Macaca fascicularis: one gene and its partners. The protein of the gene in region 2 interacts with the protein of the main gene of each other region in a biochemical or structural test. Links are inferred from orthologs where the notes say so. Each region holds a gene or a part of one and is shown on either strand. Other genes may lie near its edges.

What was found.
Region 1: of the proteins of PRMT1 (region 2) and KHDRBS1, one has a biochemical effect on the other in vitro, tested with the Homo sapiens proteins (2 studies listed by BioGRID). The link is inferred for Macaca fascicularis from reciprocal best matches to the Homo sapiens genes PRMT1 and KHDRBS1.
Region 3: the proteins of PRMT1 (region 2) and BTG2 form a complex in vitro, tested with the Homo sapiens proteins (2 studies listed by BioGRID). The link is inferred for Macaca fascicularis from reciprocal best matches to the Homo sapiens genes PRMT1 and BTG2.
Region 4: the proteins of PRMT1 (region 2) and HABP4 form a complex in vitro, tested with the Homo sapiens proteins (2 studies listed by BioGRID, with this or other methods). The link is inferred for Macaca fascicularis from reciprocal best matches to the Homo sapiens genes PRMT1 and HABP4.
Region 5: of the proteins of PRMT1 (region 2) and UBAP2L, one has a biochemical effect on the other in vitro, tested with the Homo sapiens proteins (2 studies listed by BioGRID, with this or other methods). The link is inferred for Macaca fascicularis from reciprocal best matches to the Homo sapiens genes PRMT1 and UBAP2L.

Annotation. Positions count from the first base shown.
Region 1 is NC_088375.1:202,998,396-203,001,993, forward strand, and holds part of KHDRBS1 (KH domain-containing, RNA-binding, signal transduction-associated protein 1), read right to left. Parts: intron 2,391-3,598; coding exon 2,244-2,390; intron 1-2,243. UniProt on the Homo sapiens protein: Recruited and tyrosine phosphorylated by several receptor systems, for example the T-cell, leptin and insulin receptors. Once phosphorylated, functions as an adapter protein in signal transduction cascades by binding to SH2 and SH3 domain-containing proteins.
Region 2 is NC_088393.1:57,657,615-57,661,212, forward strand, and holds part of PRMT1 (protein arginine N-methyltransferase 1), read left to right. Parts: intron 1-655; coding exon 656-743; intron 744-823; coding exon 824-939; intron 940-2,481; coding exon 2,482-2,632; intron 2,633-2,989; coding exon 2,990-3,111; intron 3,112-3,598. UniProt on the Homo sapiens protein: Arginine methyltransferase that methylates (mono and asymmetric dimethylation) the guanidino nitrogens of arginyl residues present in proteins such as ESR1, histone H2, H3 and H4, FMR1, ILF3, HNRNPA1, HNRNPD, NFATC2IP, SUPT5H, TAF15, EWS, HABP4, SERBP1, RBM15, FOXO1, CHTOP, MAP3K5/ASK1, MICU1 and NPRL2.
Region 3 is NC_088375.1:61,129,433-61,133,714, reverse strand, and holds the start of BTG2 (protein BTG2), read right to left. Parts: upstream 2,896-4,282; 5' UTR 2,808-2,895; coding exon 2,666-2,807; intron 1,375-2,665; coding exon 1,040-1,374; 3' UTR 1-1,039. UniProt on the Homo sapiens protein: Anti-proliferative protein; the function is mediated by association with deadenylase subunits of the CCR4-NOT complex. Activates mRNA deadenylation in a CNOT6 and CNOT7-dependent manner. In vitro can inhibit deadenylase activity of CNOT7 and CNOT8.
Region 4 is NC_088389.1:126,607,853-126,611,450, forward strand, and holds part of HABP4 (intracellular hyaluronan-binding protein 4), read right to left. Parts: intron 3,567-3,598; coding exon 3,404-3,566; intron 1-3,403. UniProt on the Homo sapiens protein: Ribosome-binding protein that promotes ribosome hibernation, a process during which ribosomes are stabilized in an inactive state and preserved from proteasomal degradation.
Region 5 is NC_088375.1:106,904,550-106,908,147, forward strand, and holds part of UBAP2L (ubiquitin-associated protein 2-like), read right to left. Parts: intron 2,981-3,598; coding exon 2,782-2,980; intron 1,127-2,781; coding exon 849-1,126; intron 685-848; coding exon 512-684; intron 1-511. UniProt on the Homo sapiens protein: Recruits the ubiquitination machinery to RNA polymerase II for polyubiquitination, removal and degradation, when the transcription-coupled nucleotide excision repair (TC-NER) machinery fails to resolve DNA damage.

The DNA of each region.
Region 1 (3,598 bases), on a different chromosome or scaffold from region 2:
AAGTGTCTCTTGAAAAACCTTCTCTTGATGCCATTCCTACAACTCCTCTTTTCTCAAAGTACCACGTAATTCCCTACATGCAAGCACTTACCACATCATTTTAGAATTGTCTGTCACTAAACTGTAAGCTCTTCAGGAGCCATTTTTGTAACTTTACACCGAAGCATAGTATCAGACATCTGACAGATATTTAAGAAATGTTTGGATGAAAAACCTGAAGTTCAGAAAAATGAAATGATAACCTGTCCAGGAAGACATACAGAGACAGATATACATGGTCCAGTGCTCTTTCTACTGCACTGTGAGGCATTACTGGTATAATTAATTATTCTAAGGGGAAAATGGAGGGCTCTGGTCACAGATGCAAAAATAATCTCACTTTTTTTTCCTCCACAAGAGGGAAAAATCAAGCCAAATGCCATTTGCAAATCTTTTCACACTTCCTGTTGAGAGCCATTCAGTCTTAATACTTCATGCATTTTTACACATCCCAGATGTATACAGTTTCCATAGATGATGCTAGTCTTTGATGCCCCCCTCAATTGTCTGGCTCCTCCTACCTTACACATTACTGCTGCTTGAGACTCACACCTTGGAGAATCAAGTAACTAATGCCAGACCATTCCTCAGACTCCTCCAACTACCACAGCAACACTGAGGAAACCCCCATCTCCCCGGCAGGCATCTTTTTCAAAAGATTCACTTACATGGAAGCCTCATAAACCTAAGCCTTCTGAGGAATATGAGGGAGACTAACAATAAAGAGAGAAGATGGGTATTCCCTCTGCAGTCCTTTGGAAATTGAATGCTTGGGTGATCAATAGAACACCCCAAAAAGAGTAAAAAGAATTCCCTTGAGTAAGATTAACCAGCTGTGTTTTTCTCTAGGATATGTCAAATGGTCTGTTTCACGTCGAACATTCTAATGAAGATGAGGTACTTGAAAGCAAAGCAGCTGCGAAGACATTTGAGACTGTTGGCATCCTTGGAGTTCAGCATTACGGGTACAAAATGCCTGAAATTTTTATTTTCTTTGGAAAAGGAGTTTTACTCTTGTTGCCCAGGCTGGAGTCCAATGGCACAATCTTGGCTTACCGCAACCTCTGCCTCCTGGGTTCAAGCGATTCTCCTGCTTCAGCCTCCTGAGTAGCTGGGCGCCACCACGCCCAGCTAATTTTTAGTAGAGACGGGGTTTCACCACGTTGGTCAGGCTGGTCTCGAACTCTCGACCTCAGGTGATCTGCCCACCTCGGCCTCCCAAATTGTTGGGATTATAGGCGTTACCCACCGTGTCCGGCCCACACTGCCTATAAATTTTTGCTCTATCAATTTTCACATCCTCTGACACTACATTTAGTTCCAACTCCCTCATTTAACATTCAAGAAAACCAAGGACTGTATCTTACCACCTCTCAGTTTTCTGATGAACACATGACACTTACTCAATTCTAGTTGAATAATATTCCAAATCCTTCATAAGCTTCCAGATTCATCCTTGTTATTAAATATTCAACAGTAGTATGTTAACTCTGACAACCACCTGGCCTTGCTAAAAGGCAAAAACAGTACCATTTCCTATTTATTCAAAGTAACGTTCCAACCAAGTATTTAAAGATAGTAATAAGCAAGATAGATAAACTGGCCTGTCCTATCTCTATCTAGTCCTCAGTTATAGTCTGAAAAAAGCTGCTCACCAATCTGTGAAACATCAACAGTCAACCTCTTCCAAACCAAACTCATCCTCAGCAAACTCCTCCAGGAAAGAAATCCCTGAGTGTGCTCAGAATTTAACTCAGTAACACTAGATGTTATAAGCTTCTTGCTGCTAGCCTCTACTCTCTACAGCATAAACTTCTTGAGTGCAGGGACGCACCTTAGTCACCTTCTTAATACAATCTCCTTGTTCCACACTACTACCAAAATACTCAGCTAGGTGAAGACCCTGTTAAACCGTAGTTAACCAAGTATCAGAATGCAGGCACATTGTGGACCCGAGATACTGACAACAGATACCGGTACACAATGACTACCACATTAGACAAGGAGGGACAGAGTGGCCTTGGAGCATAATGCTTGGAGAACTAGGTACAAGCAATGAACTACCGCAGGAAAATGAACATAAATGCAGAATTTGGTATACATACAGGTTATGCAGAGACCTTAGTTAAGAAACCCTACCTTCACAACAGCATAAGATCCCAGTTCTCTTTTGCTCAGAAGACACAGGATATGGATTTCCTTACCGGTACTAGAAATTTCTTGACTTCCTCCATGGCATGGGCCATAAGAGCATAAGCCTCACATGGGGGTCCAAAGACTTCAATGAAGACATGCAGATCCATATTCAAGTGGGCATATTTGGGGTCTCCACCTTTGCGCAGCTCTTCCTCCTATGGAAAAATGCAGAGAAACGTCACACCACATGGACTAGGGAGAAAACAACACCTTTACCTCTAAGCCAAAGGAACAGCAAGAAATATCCCCAATGTCTAATTAAACTAACAGTAAAGTTTAATTGGTATGAGCTGAGAAGAATTAAAAAAAAAAAAAAAGAAAGAAAAACAGTAAAGTTTAAGAAAGTAAAACAAGCAGCCAGGCATGGTGGCTCATGCCTGTAATCCCAGCACTTTGGGAGGCCGAGGTGGGCGGATCACTAGGTCAGGAGTTCCAGACCAGCCTGACCAACGTGATGAAGCCTCACCTCTACTAAAAATACAAAAATTAGCCGGGCATGGTGGTGCTTGCCTGTAATCCCAGCTACTCAGGAGGCTGAGGCAGGAGAATCGCTTGAACCCGGGAGTTGGAGGTTGCGCCACTGCACTCCAGCCTGGGCAAGAGCAAGGCTCCGTCTCAAGAAAAAAAAAAAAGTGAAACAAGCTCTGAAGAACAGTAATTTGCACAGCCTGCTAAACTTGCACATGGTCTGCTGCTAACAGTTAATTGTCATCTTAAATCCCTGAGATATCCACTGGAGCTCTTACTAAAAGCATAAAGAAGAAAAACTTAATTCTAGTCTCTATTCAGATAATAGCTGTGTGCCAAGCATTTGTTTTTAAATCTCAGGTAGAGCTGTTAATCACCACGAGCTCTGCTTATCTGCTTATATGGTCTAGGGAGTGCTAGGGGAAGAAAGAAGTCAGGACAGAGAGAAGAAAAGCTCATGTAAATCTCATTAGCTAGAACAACACACTTCAGCCCTAACTATATGCATCTAGTAAGAAATGACCTGAGAAAACAAACACGTGTCCATTAGGCTACATAAAAGGAGGATTGAAAGAATAGGTTTTCGGACTGTAGCAGGCATATCTCATCAAATAAAGTGACCCCAGAAGGCTAAGACCATTCTGTTTTGGTGAGAAGTTTCTTGTCACAGAGTACACAGTATATGCGGCTATGGCATGGGAAAAGACTCATTAGATTCTGTAGTCAGGATTACTCATGGCTCCTTTTGGAATACATTCTTTTAGTGAGCCTCACATTCCAGCCGGCTATAAAACAAACCAACTAATCCTCAAACTCTTCTGCTCTCACAACACTATTGTTCTCACTTTTCCAGGTTACAAAAAAGGGGGTGTGCTGTTTGCCTTTTAGTGTCTTT
Region 2 (3,598 bases):
TGCAGCTCGCATGGGCTGGGGGCCAAAAGCACTCAATTTTTCCCACAGACGGGACTTACTATGGGGGTGTGGCTGCAAGGTGTTAGAAGGCCACAGCCCGAGCCAGGTGTGACAGACCCTGGTGGGAGATGGTGCGATGTGGGGGGGTTTGTAGGAACAGGAAAACTATAGCAGGGCACTAGACCAGGTTCTCCGGCCCCAGCAGGCCGCCCCGGGAGAGGTGAGGTGACCGAGAGCTGGATGAAGATGTGGAGGGGTGGCCAGGGCAGGTGTTCCCTTGCTGCATGTGGAGCAGCAGGGAGGCCCGTGTGGAAGGAGGGTCTAGAAGGGCAGCAGGAGGAGCAGTGGAGGTAAGGGGTGACAGGGCATGTGCAGATTTTGTGGGGCCTTATGGGACCCCGCGCGACTTTGCTTTTCCTCTCAGAGCAGCCAGGGAGGGTCTGAGGATCCCCAGAACCTCGAGGGACAGGAGCTGACTGAGGTGCCCCTGGGTGCCCTCTGGCGGCCGTGTGGGAAATAGACCAGGGGGTGAGGGGTGAGTGCCGCTGCGACATGAGGGTGGCTCAGACCAGGGCAGAAGGTCACATCTCGGGGGCAAGAGTCAGGGCAGCGTTGCCAGGCCCCACCCTTCATGCCTCGCCCTGCCCCTCTGCAGGCGCCCGATGGCCTCATCTTCCCAGACCGGGCCACGCTGTATGTGACGGCCATCGAGGACCGGCAGTACAAAGACTACAAGATCCACTGTGAGCGTGGCCCAGGAGCGGGCGGGCGGGGCCCCGGGTGGGCTGCCGCGGGCTCACCCCCTCCCTGCCTGCCTCCCCAGGGTGGGAGAACGTGTATGGCTTCGACATGTCTTGCATCAAAGATGTGGCCATCAAGGAGCCCCTAGTGGATGTGGTGGACCCCAAACAGCTGGTCACCAATGCCTGCCTCATAAAGGTGAGGGGGGGGGGTGGGCATGGCCAGGTGCCCCCTGGGTTGAAACCAAAGAGAGGCCATCACCTGGCCCTGGCATGGGACTTTGGGGCCCAGAGTGTTGGCCTGAGGTCTCAGAGCCTGACCTGCCAGCCAGAGGTGGTGCTAGGGGCCCAGGAAAGACGTTTCATCCTTTAAACATCTTTGTGAGCGCTGCCGTGTGAGAACCACGTTTGGCACTTGGTGTCCGGCAGAGGACACACCCGCAGCTGGTAGCTAAAGCCCACAGCCCGTACACGGGAAGGCAGGACCTGGGGCGATGAGCGGGTGCACACGCTGCAGAAGAGCAGGGGGCCAGGCTGGGATCCGAGATGTGCCTGTGGTTGCAGCTACTCAGGAGGCTGAGGCGGGAGGATCTCTTGGGCCTGGGAGTTCAAGGCTGCAGTGAGCTGTGATCACATCCCTGCACTCCAGCCTTGGTGACAGTGTTTTGTTTTGTTTTTAACTTTTTTTAACTTCTGAGACCCTGTTTATTTATTTATTTATTTTTTCTTTTTTTTTTGAGACGGAGTCTTGCTCTGTCGCCCAGGCTGGAGCGCAGTGGCCGGATCTCAGCTCACTGCAAGCTCCGCCTCCCGGGTTTATGCCATTCTCCTACCTCAGCCTCCCGAGTAGCTGGGACTACAGACTCCCGCCAACCCGCCTGGCTAGTTTTTTTTTTTTTTTTTTTTTGCATTTTTTAGTAGAGACGGGGTTTCACTGTGTTAGCCAGGATGGTCTCGATCTCCTGACCTTGTGATCCGCCCGTCTCGGCCTCCCAAAGTGCTGGGATTACAGGCTTGAGCCACCGCGCCCGGCCGACCCTGTTTAAAAAAAAAAAAATAAGGCAACGAGTATTTGTTGAGCTGGGATGTGTGAGCCGGGTGAAGCTGGGTGGTTGGCCGGGGGTTCCTGTGGGGAGGAGGAAGCTGTTGAGTGGGAATGGAGAGGAGACTGGAGGGGCAGGGACCCCACCCAGGCCACCCTCCTGAGAACCAGCGGAACTGGTGCAGGGTTTTCGGTTGGATTGCCGTTTGAAGCCATCATGCTGGTGGACTTGTGAAGGGTTGGGGAGAGTGGGGAGCGCGGAGAGGGGGGAGCGCGGAGAGGGGGGAGCGCGGAGAGGGTGGAGTGCGGAGAGGGGGAGCGCGGCCCGGAGAGCGCGGAGAGCGGGGAGCGCGGAGAGGGGGGAGCGCGGAGAGGGGGGAGCAGGGTGCCTGCATTCCCAGGAGGTCTGGCCAGGTGGGGTCGGGGCGGGGTGGGCTCTGGACAGAGTTAGGGTGGCGGCGCCAGGTTTGGGTGCGGGAGAGAAGGGAGCAAAGAATCTGGGCTCAAACCGAGGCGGTTTATTGGGAGCCGGACAGTCAGGATGAGGAGTGAATGAGGAGCTGAGGCTGGGTGCCAGTAAGGGAGGGCCAGCGGGAAGGGGACAGTGAGGTCACAGGCCCTCTGGGAGCTTGAGGGAGGGAGGAGGGGATGAAGCGAGGTGGGGACACATCCCGGAGCTCACCCTCTCCTGTCCTGCAGGAGGTGGACATCTACACCGTCAAGGTGGAAGACCTGACGTTCACCTCCCCGTTCTGCCTGCAAGTGAAGCGGAATGACTACGTGCACGCCCTGGTGGCCTACTTCAACATCGAGTTCACGCGCTGCCACAAGAGGACGGGCTTCTCCACCAGTGAGGCGGGGCCCGCAGGGCTGGGGGCTGCTCCTGAGCCAGGGCCGAGGGGCACCCACATAGTGGAGGGGGTGACAGAAACGGGCAGAGGGAGCCATGGGGACATGTGTGTTCCAGCGTGAGCTCTGCCATGTAGCAGTCACGTGGCCTTGAGCAAGTGATCTGAGTGTGCAGTGCCTCAGTTTCCTCATCCACAAAAGCCTGACACGGTCCCTGTCTCCAAAGCTGAATGACAGGGAGGTGACTCACGGACAGCAGTCCCGTCAGCTGTCAGGGGGGTGGACATTCCAACAGAGGGAACACAAGACTGGGGCCAGGGCAGCAGGCCAAGGCCAGCTGACCCGCCTGCGCCCCCAGGCCCTGAGTCCCCGTACACGCACTGGAAGCAGACAGTGTTCTACATGGAGGACTACCTGACCGTGAAGACGGGCGAGGAGATCTTCGGCACCATCGGCATGCGGCCCAATGCCAAGAACAACGTGAGGCTCTGGGCAGCTGGGCAGGAGGGTGGCAGCCGGGGTGGGGAGCATGGATAGGGGCAGTGGTAGGGGGGAATGGTGGCAGCGTAGGGGATGGGGGTAGCTGGGGCGGATGGGGGCAGCTGGCAGGGGCGAGTGCCTCTGCCTGTTCCCGGGTCCCTGAGCCCCTCAGCCCCACGCCTGTCTACACAGCAGATTTCTTAGCATTTACTGGAAGATGGGCCTGGGGACCCAGGCCAAAGCCCTGTCCTCCTGGTGCTTCCAGTCTACACAAGGGGATCAGTGACATGGTGATGCCAGTGGGAGGTGACCTCTGTCAGGCTGGGAGCAGGGCAGACAGGTGTTGGCGTGGGTGAGCTCCAGGGCAAGAGGCGGCCCCGGTAGAGCGCACAGGGTTTGCTAGCCCAGGTGGGAGGCATGAGAGGAGGAGAAAGGCAGCTTTTTGTTTTCCACTCCCCCCTTTTTCCTCCTGAGCACCTGGTAGGAG
Region 3 (4,282 bases), on a different chromosome or scaffold from region 2:
GTTGTGCTTTTGAAAAGAAGGCAGTAATAGAGGACCTGGAGTTCCCTGTAGCTTTTGAGCCACCTCTCAAAGGGATCATGGCAGCAGCAACAAGACTTCCATGTGGTTCCAAAAAGAAGAGTTTGGCCAAAAAACATCCCCAGTGGATACTCTTTGGGTCCCAAAATTCCATTGCAAATCACCCCCAAATTATTTGCCACACATACACACAAAGCAGCACTAGCAAAGCAAAGGTTTTGTGCAGAGTTCCCTCCCATCCTAACCCCAGTAACTTCCAGTTCCCTCCTCCCCCCTCAGAAACAAAACAAAACAAAACAAAAACCCCCAAAGCTTTAGATTCCTGGCTGGAGAGCAACATCTATAGGCCCCTGAGGGTAGAATTAGAAACAAGTCATGATTTCAAGAAAAGCTGCTTAGGACAGTAGGAATCAGGAGAGGCCTTTTCACTCTCTGCCCAGGACCTCATTAGAAAATTAAAAGAAATATAAAGTATAATTAAAAAGAAAAAGGAAAAAAAAAAGATAACATAGTATTATTTAAGTCTAGGCATGAATGCCCCTGAGTAATAGAGGAGCCAGGGATGCAGGTGTCTGGCTGGGGGAGACAGAGAGTTCTGAACTTGGCCTCTCTTCCTCCCCCAGGGCAAATCCCAACCTCTCTGTTCACAGTTGCTAATCTTGCTCGCTCCCTCTCCCATCTTCCTGGGGCGCTAGCCAAACGTCTCCCACTTCACCTTGGCTAGGTCTACCCCCTAACAGCTCCCCCTCCTATAGGCAGACACTGGCTCACAGACTCAAGCACACACAACAGTTCTCTCCAAAGGCACCTGGGGAGGCCACTTCCAAGCAGCTCCCTTGAAGGATTTTTTTTCTTAAAAAAAATCTTTTGGTTTTTTTCCTCCTCTTTTCTTAAAAAAAAAAAATAATATATATATAAATAGCTCTTCATTTAAAAATACAGTTCCCCAGGTTGAGGTATGTGGTGGCCTGTTGTCACGGCAGCATGAGCACGGCGGCGCCCAGGGCGGGGGCGGAGGGGTCTAGCTGGAGACCGCCATCACGTAGTTCTTGGAGGGGCTGCTCCGGCCCAGCAGCACTTGGTTCTTGCAGGTGAGGAGCCCACAGGAGGCGGCCACTGGGGCCTCCTCGTACAAGACGCAGATGGAGCCGTCCTCCCCAATGCGGTAGGACACCTCATAGGGGTCCACCCACAGGGTCAGCTCGCTGGGCAGCAGCTGGTGCAGCTGGGGCTGGCTGAGTCCGATCTGGCTGGCCACCCTGCTGATGATGGGGTCCATCTTGTGGTTGATGCGAATGCAGCGGTAGCCCGAGCCCTTGGACGGCTTTTCAGGAAACCAGTGGTGTTTGTAGTGCTCTGTGGAGACAGGACGGGGGGAGATGCCCTGGTTAGAGCAGCTGGGCCATGGATACTACCACAGAGCAGGGAGGAGGGTCAAGGAACAGGAGAGGAAGGGGCCCTTTAAGTAAGGGAGGTGGATTCCTCTGAGTTCCAGGACCCTCTTGCCACTTAGCAGAGAAAATTTTATGGAAGCGGGAGAGATCTGCTTTCCTGCTTCCAGAACGTGTGTGTGTGTGTGTGTGTGTGTGTGTATGTTGGGAGGGGATTCCAGAGCTCTGGGGTACTCTCCAGTGGCCAGTGTATTGCTTTTGGCACACCCCCAGTTTCAGGAGGGAAGGGTGTGACTGGGGCTGGCATGTCCAGGCAGGGCCTCTGGAGACCTGTGAGCTGAAGTTTCAGGGCCAGGAAGGCTGCCAACATTGTTGGGTCCACAGCAAGTAATTGGGCCTCCCACCCTGTGTTCCCTCTGCTTCCTTCAGAAGAGTCAGGGAACCTTCCTTAGCAGTGCCCAAGGGAGTGAAAACTGGGTTGTTTTGATGAAACATCTGTTTTTCTCAGAAGGCAGGGTCTGTGTGGGTGCGTTCCGAGATGGCTATCGCTTCCCCAAACTGACAGCAACCAGCTAGAAACAGCTGGGAGAGAGGTCTCTCCCCAGCCAGCGAGCGGGCTGCTTATCTCTTCACCTCCCAACTCGAAGGCCAGCAGGGCAGGGTCACCAGCTACCAGGCTCTCCTCCCTACCACAATAGGTGGCAGATGGCTAAGGGGAACCAAAGAGAACACAAAGGGGGCCCAAATTCCAACTTGAAGCGAGTCAGCAACCAGTGGACTGCCCCAGGCACAGCGCACCCCGACCGGCAGGAAGAACGGCACTGGGACTCCGAGTTGTTGAAAAGGCTCGACTGCACCTTCTTCCCTCATCGGGACCCCTCGGCCGACCGGGCGGCCCGCAACAACATCCATCGAGGGTCTTAAGATCTCGAGGGTCCAGCGAGGGAGACGAGCCCGTAATGAGACCGGGACATAAGCTGGGGACTCGGGCTGGCACTCCAGGACCAGGGTTTGCGCCTCCGAGAGCGTGGAGGGGCGCGCCCCATCAGAACAGCCACGGGCCGAGACCCGAGCACAGGGTTGGGGAGGAAGACCCAGGAAACTGGGGACTGCGGGCCGCCCCGGGGGTCGGAGGAGGGCCACCGAGTCCCAAAGCTGCTCCTGTGGGTGACCCTGCCGCAGGAGTAAAGGAAAGACGGCCCTGGCAGGAAGGGGGCCGACCCCCGGTGGCGCCAGGCCCCTCGGCACGCGCTCACCTGTGAGTGCCTCCTGGAGCGCCCCGCTGAAGACCTTAAGCCGCTGCTCGCTCACGCAGCCCCGGGTCCTCAGGAGGCTGGAGAGGAAGCCTACGGCGGCGGCGATCTCCGGGAGCATGTCGGTTCCCTTCCCGTGGCTCATGTCGCGCGCGGCTCGGGCTCAGTGAGAGGTCTCGGGTGGGAAGTACGGGTCCACAAGCCAGCGCTGCCCTGGCCGCTGCTCGGGCTCTGCCCGGACTTTCCCCGGGCCCCCTTTTTCAGGAGGTCCAGGGAGGTGGGGACAACCGGTGGCGGCGCTCATTGGCCGCGGCCAACGGATGGGGGCGGGGCTCGGGCCCGCCCCGCCCCGCCCCGCGCTCCGGCGCTCTTCCCCGCCCCCGCCACCCCAGCCCCCGCCCTCGCAGCCTTGGCGGCGCTGAGGTCATCGCTCGCTGACGTCAGTGCTAGGAACCTGCGCCCGGCTGAGCTGAGCGAGACGAGAGGAGAAAGCGAGGCTCGGGGAGGAGGCTCCCGAGTACTCCGCGCCGGGCAGGCCCCGGCCTCGCCTCTCCTCCCATTTTTAAGGCTCGGGTTAGAGGCCACCTCCTCCGAGAAGCCTTCGGTGACACCACCAGAAGGCTTCCCAGAACCGTTCCCAGGTGGTTCCCCTTTCGGATTCCCACAGCATTTTCCAACCATACACGGTCAGAACCACTCACCAGGACGTGTTGTCACCATTTTACCTCTTTGCCTCGTCTCTTAACTAGATGAAATGGGTTCCTCTTGGCTCTTTGGAAAGGGAGGCTGTCTTCTGCTTATTTCCGTAGTAATCCCACCTCCCACAACAAGTTCCGTTCTGCAGCAATGCCTTTTCTCTTGCTGAGAAACATTCAAGTCTAAGTTTTATGGTGGATAGGGGTAGGGGGTGTGTTGCAAGACTTTTGTCTTCTTAACTTATTTTTCTAGTTCTCACTTTCCTTAAGTGCTAATTTTTTTGAATTAGTAGTCTGCTCTCAACTGTACATATTTTTCCGTCCACTCCCTCCTTCCCCAGCCGTCTTCCTTCCTTATTGTGGATTGGACCTTCTCGAGAAAGAATCCGGCCTCAGTCTCCCTCTTCCACACTCAGGGACCGCCACCATCACAGGTACTCGGTGGATGCCTTCCGAATGGGGATAACTTCTACCCAACACCCCGAAGCCTGGCCCAGGGTCTGGCATACAGATGCCCAGTGTTTGTAAGGTGACTCAAACCCAATGGCCTCTGTAAATTCCTATTTTCCTTGAACTCTGAGCCCTCTGACCACCTTCTGGAAGCAGTGTCCCTGTCCTTTTTCCTTATGCCCCAGGCTTCTCCACCCCACTGCCTGGCTGTGCTGGCCCTGGATCCCTTCCTGCCCCGTTCCCCACACTATGTCTCCTCAGTCCTCCTCCCTTTTCTCTAGGCTGCCTTTCCTTGGAGAGGTCCTATGCATGTAGTCTGCCTTGATGTTTACTGTTTTACAGTGACTTTTCTCATCTGCACAGTCTGTCCTCCTGTCTTTCCATCCTGCTTCTGTTCCCACCAGCTCTGTCCTCTCCCTCAGATGTCCAGCCACCACCTCAATGTGAGCGGAAGCCCATTGTCTTCTCCAAAGCT
Region 4 (3,598 bases), on a different chromosome or scaffold from region 2:
GAAACAAGTGTCATGTCTACTTGCTAGGATTGTTGTAAGACAGTGAATCACAGGGTTTTTGTATAAAGCAGGATGCTTGGCCCGAATGTTATTTTCCTTCTTTTGCTTGTGAGTTTGTCAGACATAAAACTTTCTATGTTTTATTTATTAAGAGTATTATTTAGGGCCGGGCGCGGTGGCTCACGCCTGTAATCCCAGCACTTTGGGAGGCCGAGACGGGCGGATCACGAGGTCAGGAGATCGAGACCATCCTGGCTAACACGGTGAAACCCCGTCTCTACTAAAAACTACAAAAAAAACTAGCCGGGCGAGGTGGCGGGCGCCTGTAGTCCCAGCTACTCGCGAGGCTGAGACAGGAGAATGGCGTAAACCCGGGAGGTGGAGCTTGCAGTGAGCTGAGATCCGGCCACCGCACTCCAGCCTGGGTGACAGAGCGAGACTCCGTCTCAAAAAAAAAAAAAAAAAAAAAGAGTATTATTTAAGAAACTAGGCTGGGCGCGGTGGCTCAAGCCTGTAATCCCAGCACTTTGGGAGGCCGAGGCGGGCGGATCACAAGGTCAGGAGATCGAGACCACAGTGAAACGCCGTCTCTACTAAAAAAAATACAAAAAATTAGCCGGGCGCGGTGGCGGGCGCCTGTAGTCCCAGCTACTCAGGAGGCTGAGGCAGGAGAATGGCGGGAACCCGGGAGGCGGAGCTTGCAGTGAGCCAAGATCGCGCCACTGCACTCCAGCCTGGGCCACAGCGTGAGACTCCGTCTCAAAAAAAAAAAAAAAAAAAAAGAAACTAAGAAAATGTTTTCTGATATCAAGATTCAAATTTCCTCGAAAATGAAAATTCCCTACATATCTGTACTGTGACGCACTGAGAACACGTTACTTCTGTGGCATTCCTGCCAAAAGTGCGCAATCTCGTTCCATGAGGAGACATCAGAAAAACTCAAAATCTGAAACATGTTATAAAATAACTGGCCCATGCTCTTCAAAATGCCAAATTCATAAAGACCAAGGAAGGCTAAGGAGCTGCTCCTAATTAAAGATGACTAAATACGACGCATTTACTGGAGTGGATCCTGAACCAGAAATGTTTTCTCTTGTGTTAAAACACATCACTGGGACAATTGGTGAAATCTGAGTAAAGTCTGTAGACTAGTAATTTAGACAATTAGATAACAGTATTGTATTCATTTTAATGAGTTTGAAAATTGTATCATGTTGTTAGAAAATGCGTTTAAAGTATTTAGGAGTAAGGGGACATTCCTACACCGTATTCTCAAATGACAAGAAAAGGCTGTGTGGTGCGGTGGGGCATGGATGATAAAGGAAATGTGGTAAATAGTGTGTGGGGAGTCTTGAAGGGCAGATGGAAATTCTTTGTATAATTCTTAAAACTCTTCTGTAATTCTGAATTTATTTAAATAAAAAAAAAACCCTCCATAATTCCATATCCCACCTTACTCTTCCATATACGTATTATTTCACTTAATAGCTATCTTTTCATGTCACATATAAAGATCTATTTTATCCTTTTTAAAGACTACATAGTCTTGCTACGAAAAAAGGGGGGAAACATGGGTTTGTGCAAGTCAACTATAATTTCTTCGTTTCCACAGAATCCCTGAAGTGAGGGGAAAATAAATACCCAAATGCTTCCGAAAATCAGCAGCTCTGCTCCCGGAAGCTTTGCAGAAGCAAGTAGACTGTGCTTACTACACAGCAGATCTGAAGTAATCACCAAAAAAGGGGCAAAATTAAGCCCTTCTGTAAGTTTCTCCCTCCAACATGGTTGCAGACAGACCATCTCAATGTCTTGAATGTGTAACTTCTAGGTGAACAGTTCTGCGTGAGTCATCACCTGCTCAGCCCACCCAGGCTAAGTTACTCTCTGCTGGACTGTTGTTTTGTTTTGTTTGTAATAGGCCCTGTAGTATAGTTTTACAAAGCCACATGTTTTGGTTAAAACTTGTAGCCACAATCCTAAATGGAATGGAATTAGCAGTCAAGAAGCAGAGTTTGGAAAAATGGCTCCCTTGACATTTCACTGTTCACTATTCTAGCCTTCCTTAGCCTGTTTAATTTTCCTTGAAATGTGATTCACTAGTTGTTTCTGTTTAACATAAACAGGTTAAATGATTAAACAGGCCGGGCGCGGTGGCTCAAGCCTGTAATCCCAGCACTTTGGGAGGCCGAGACGGGCGGATCATGAGGTCAGGAGATCGAGACCATCCTGGCTAACCCGGTGAAACTCCGTCTCTACTAAAAAATACAAAAAACTAGCCGGGCGAGGTGGCGGGCGCCTGTAGTCCCAGCTACTCGGGAGGCTGAGGCAGGAGAATGGCGTGAACCCGGGAGGCGGAGCTTGCAGTGAGCTGAGATCCGGCCACTGCACTCCAGCCTGGGCGGCAGAGGGAGACTCCGTGTCAAAAAAAAAAAAAAAAAGATTAAACAAAGGCTTTAAGCAGCAAGTACCCACCCTGCTAGTGCCAAGCATAAGACACAGCTCTGTTGTTCAGGTGGAGTGCGGCGGCCACCACACTGCCGCATCACTCAGCAGCCATGCAACACTCCACCAGCCCACGACTTCCATCCGTGTTAGGGGACTTCCGAGAGCAGCCATGCCTGCCAGAAACTGGTATTACACATCACAACAGAGTCTTCTTCAAATTTCACCGTGGCAGCCTACTGACCTGACCGTGGAGCTAGGAACTGACTTCAATCCATTGAGCAGTCGAAATTGGTAATGCGAAATCAAAAACCATAATTATATCCCTAGCCCAAAATTGTGTCTCTAATCTACAACTTCAAAACAAAACTTTACCAGTTCAACACCCTCCTGTGTAATTTCTTTTTAAGAGTGCTCTTCAGTTACCAATAAGCAATTCATTGTTAATTGTAAAATCATTTCCTGAACCAAGGCGTAAAGGAAAAAGGAAGATCCTTCGCATCATCTAAGGTAATATGAATTGCACATAAATTAGTAAAACATTCCCAGGACTGATAACACAAAAAGCAGTAGCCAGTAGAAAGTAGCATTTTCTGGACCAGGCATGGTGGCCCACTCCTGTAATCCCACCACTTTGGAAGGCCAAGGCGGGCGGAACCTGAGGTTAGGAGTTCAAGACCAGCCTGACCAATATGGAGAAACCCCATCTCTACTAAAAATACAAAATTAGCCAGGCATGGTGGTGGGCGCCTGTAATCCCAGCTACTCAGGAGGCTGAGGCAGGAGAATTGCTTGAACCTGGGAGCAGACGTTGCAGTGAGCAGAGATTGCGCCATTGCACTTCAGCCTAGGTGACAAGGGTGAAACTCTGTCTCAGAAAAAAAAAAAAAAAAAAGAAAGTAGCATTTTCTAAACACCTTTCTGGTTCCCCACCCGCCCTGCCGAGGACTGCAGCACGTACTTTTCATCTGGAAACTTCTCAGCTGTGAAGTCCGCCTGCCTCTCGGTCTCATAGGGTCGGTACTCCCTGTAGGGTCTCCGCTCAGCTCTTTCAAGCATCCCCTCTGGCCCACGGCTGTCATTCCATCCTTGCTGCTCCCCTCTTCTAGGAGTCCGCTTCTGACCTACCAACAGAAAATCAAAGCAGAGTTGGAAC
Region 5 (3,598 bases), on a different chromosome or scaffold from region 2:
ACTAAAAAATACAAAAATTTGCTGGTTATGGTGGTGGGCACCTGTAATCCCAGCTACTCGGGAGGCTGAGGCAGGAGAATCGTTTGAACCCGGATGGCGGAGGTTGCAGTGAGCCGAAATCGTGCCACTGCACTCCAGCCTAGGCAACAGAGTGACACTCTGTGTTTAAAAAAAAAAAAAAAAAAAAAATTTGTAGAGACAGGGACTCATTATATTGCCCAGGCTGGTCTTGAACTCCTGGCCTCAAGCAATCCTCCTGCCTTGGCCACCCAAAGTGCTGGGATTATAGGTGTGAGCCATCACATCCAGCCCCTAGGGGGCATATTTCTACCTGTTTAGTTATAGATAACCCTAATAATAATATTTTAAAGCACTCAAAGTGCTATGATTGACTATTTTCCCCCAGCCATGCAGAGAGGCTTGGCCTCTCCAGAGTTCTAAAAATTACCCGCAGATTAAAAAAGTAGTAAAAGGTTAATAAGAGAGGTCTTATGGCTAATGTTTCCTCTACCTGGCCGTGCTGGTATACAGGCTACTTGGAGCCTGGCTTGAAGAGGCGCTCGTGGTGGGGGTGGACTCATAATCAGAAAGGACAGGCTCTGACCCAAATTGCAATGCCCCAAACTGCAGGTTTAGCCCTGAGATATCTGCTGAGCCAGGCATCTCCACAGCCAGAGCAGGAATCTATAGAGAAAGGTGAAGGAGAAGAGAAAGTAATGGCTTTAATACAACCTTACTAAAGACCAAAAAAACCTTTCCCTTTAAATTTCTAAACTTACCTTTTAATCTCAATTTCCAAGCCCCACACCCCTTGCCATAAGATGTTATCTACCTAAAAGTTTAAGTACCTTAGAAGTCAAGGAGGCTTTTTTCTTCTGCTGTTTCAGTTTCTGCTGAGCTGGCTGAGGGCTAGAGGACTGGTTGTCTGAAGATCCAGGCGACATCTGTGGAGCCGACGTGGATTTGCTTGGCAGAGGAGAAGACGGAGGTGGAGGTGCAGCTGTGGAGGTAGCCACTGCAGGTGACTTCTCCTGAAGGAACACCTCCATCATGGTTGAAGACGGGGTAAAAGCCTGGCGCTTTGTAAAGGGGCTGTGCACTGTTGAATCACTTGGGTTCTTCAAATCTGCAAGAGGAAACCCAGAATATGAAGCCAGAGATGCTGATGAATCTCAAGGAAATGCTATTATCCTGCACTAGCACCATGAATGAGGACTGTAAAAATCAGAAACTCATATAAGCAGGCCCTCTTTCGGGGCTTAATCTCATTTCTATAGGTGACAATCACTGGATTACATTTTTTTTTTTTTTTTGAGATGGAGTCTCGCTCTGTCACCCAGGCTGGAATGCAATATGCAATGGCGCAATCTCAGCTCACTGCAACATCCACCTCCTGGGTTCAAGCGATTCTCTTGCCTCAGAGTAGCTGGGACTACAGGTGCGTGCCACCACGCCTGGCTAATTTTTGTGTTTTTGGTAGACACGGGATTTCATCACGTTGGCCAGGCTGGTCTCAAACTCCTGACCTCAAGTGATCCATCCGCCTCGGCTTCTCAAAGTGCTGGGATTACAGGCATGAGCCGCCGCACCTGGCCTACATCCATCCTTAAATAAAGCCTAATTAAATCAACACCATTACCCAGCCTGTGTAAGAAAGGAATGCACAAATTGTCCAAGTTTAAAGTACCGCAAGTTCTCATTTAACATCATCCATAGGTGCTTGGAAACTGGCTTTAAGCAAAAACAATGCATGGCACATCTTTGAATAACAGTTTCCTTCAACATGATTTCATTATAATGTTGATGAGGGAAAAAAAAAAAATGGCCAGGCGCAGTGGCTCGTGCCTGCAATCCCATCACTGTGGGAGGCCAAGACCAGCAGATTGTTTGAGCCCAAGAGTTCGACACACACCTGGGCAACATGGTGAAAACCCATCTCCAGAAAAAATAAAAAATTAGCCAGGCACGGTGGTACAAGCCTGAGGTCCCAGCTACTCAGGAGGCTCAAGTGGGAGGACTGCTTGAGCCCAGGAAGATGAGGCTGCAGTGAGCCAAGATAGTGCCACTGTACTCCGGTCTGGATGACAGAACGAGACCTTGTCTTATGTTTCGCAAAAAGTCGCAGTTTCCAAGAACCTATCAATGACATTAAGTGAAGACTTACTGTATAAAATCTTAAGATGGCGAAGTCTATGAACCTAAAGGCAATATGTTATTTTCAAACACTGAAGATAAATCTAAGGAGAATAATAATTAAAACCCCAATCAACAGAAGACTGCAAGTATGTATATGGTTAAAATTTTTTTTTTTTTTTTTGAGAAAAGCTAGCTACACACTAGCTCTGCAGCCCAGGCTAATGTACAGTGGTGCAAACACAGCTCACTGCAACCTCAACCTCCTGGGCTCAGGCAATTCTCCTGCCTCAGCCTCCCTAGGAGCTGGGATCACAGGTGCACACCACCACGCTCATTTAATTGAAAACGATTTTTCCTAGGCTCAGGCTGTCCTCCCACTTCAGCCTCCCAAAGTGCTAAGATTACAGGTGTAAGCTACCATGCCCAGCCTCTAAATCTGATGAGAAATATATAGCCTCAAATTTTATTATTCCCCAACTTTCTGAATTCAGCTTATTTGATTAGGGGAAATACATGTAGGAAGGTAATCAACTAGCTTCCCCTTTTCTTCACTTCAGGACACATTCTCCACCCCCTCCCCCTGCTAGCCTCTTGACAGTAATGCTCCAATGCTTTAAAGATTCAAGTCACTTTCCATCTTCTCACCATACTGCACCAGTGATGGGGATTGTGTCGTTGAGCCCATGTCCCAAGAGGAGGTGGTGGTGCTTCCAGACTGAGAATGCTGAGCTGCCAACTGAGCCAGGGCTTGGGCAGTCTTGAATTGCTCCAAGAACTGGGAGCCCGTAGTACTGCCGCCTTTAGCTTCACCGACATCACCAAATCCTTTCCCTAACATGCTCACCTGTAGATCAATAAAGAGATGAGAGAAACCTACAGCCAGTAACCTTGTTCAGCTAATCATAAAGACACTTATCCAGACAGAGCGCCAGTATAGATCAAGCAAGTAAAGAATACTGTCACACTGGGTATACAGCGTAGTCCACTAGAGTATAGGACCTAGAGTCAGACTGTCTTAGATTGAAATCCTGGCTATGTAAGCTTGGAAAAATTATTTTTTAATCTCTCTTTGCCTCACTTTCCTCATCTGGAAATAGGAATAAAAGTAAAGCTGTATGAGGATTAAATTAAAGCACTTAATACATGCATGGCACATAGTCATCACTCAAAAAAGAGAGCCATTAAAACTTTATATAAGTTTTATATCATCATTACTTCCTTCTTCCTGCTTCTCAGGGATAAAATTCTGCTGACTGGAGAATTTTTTTTTTTTTGAGACGGAGTCTCACTCTGTTGCCCAGGCTGGAGAGAAGTGGCGCTATCTCAGCTCACTGCAAGCTCCGCCTCCTGGGTTCACGCCATTCTCCTGCCTCAGCCTCCCGAGTAGCTGAGACTACAGGCACTGGCCACCACACCCAGCTAATTTTTTGTATTTTTAGTAGAGACAGGGTTTCACTGTGTT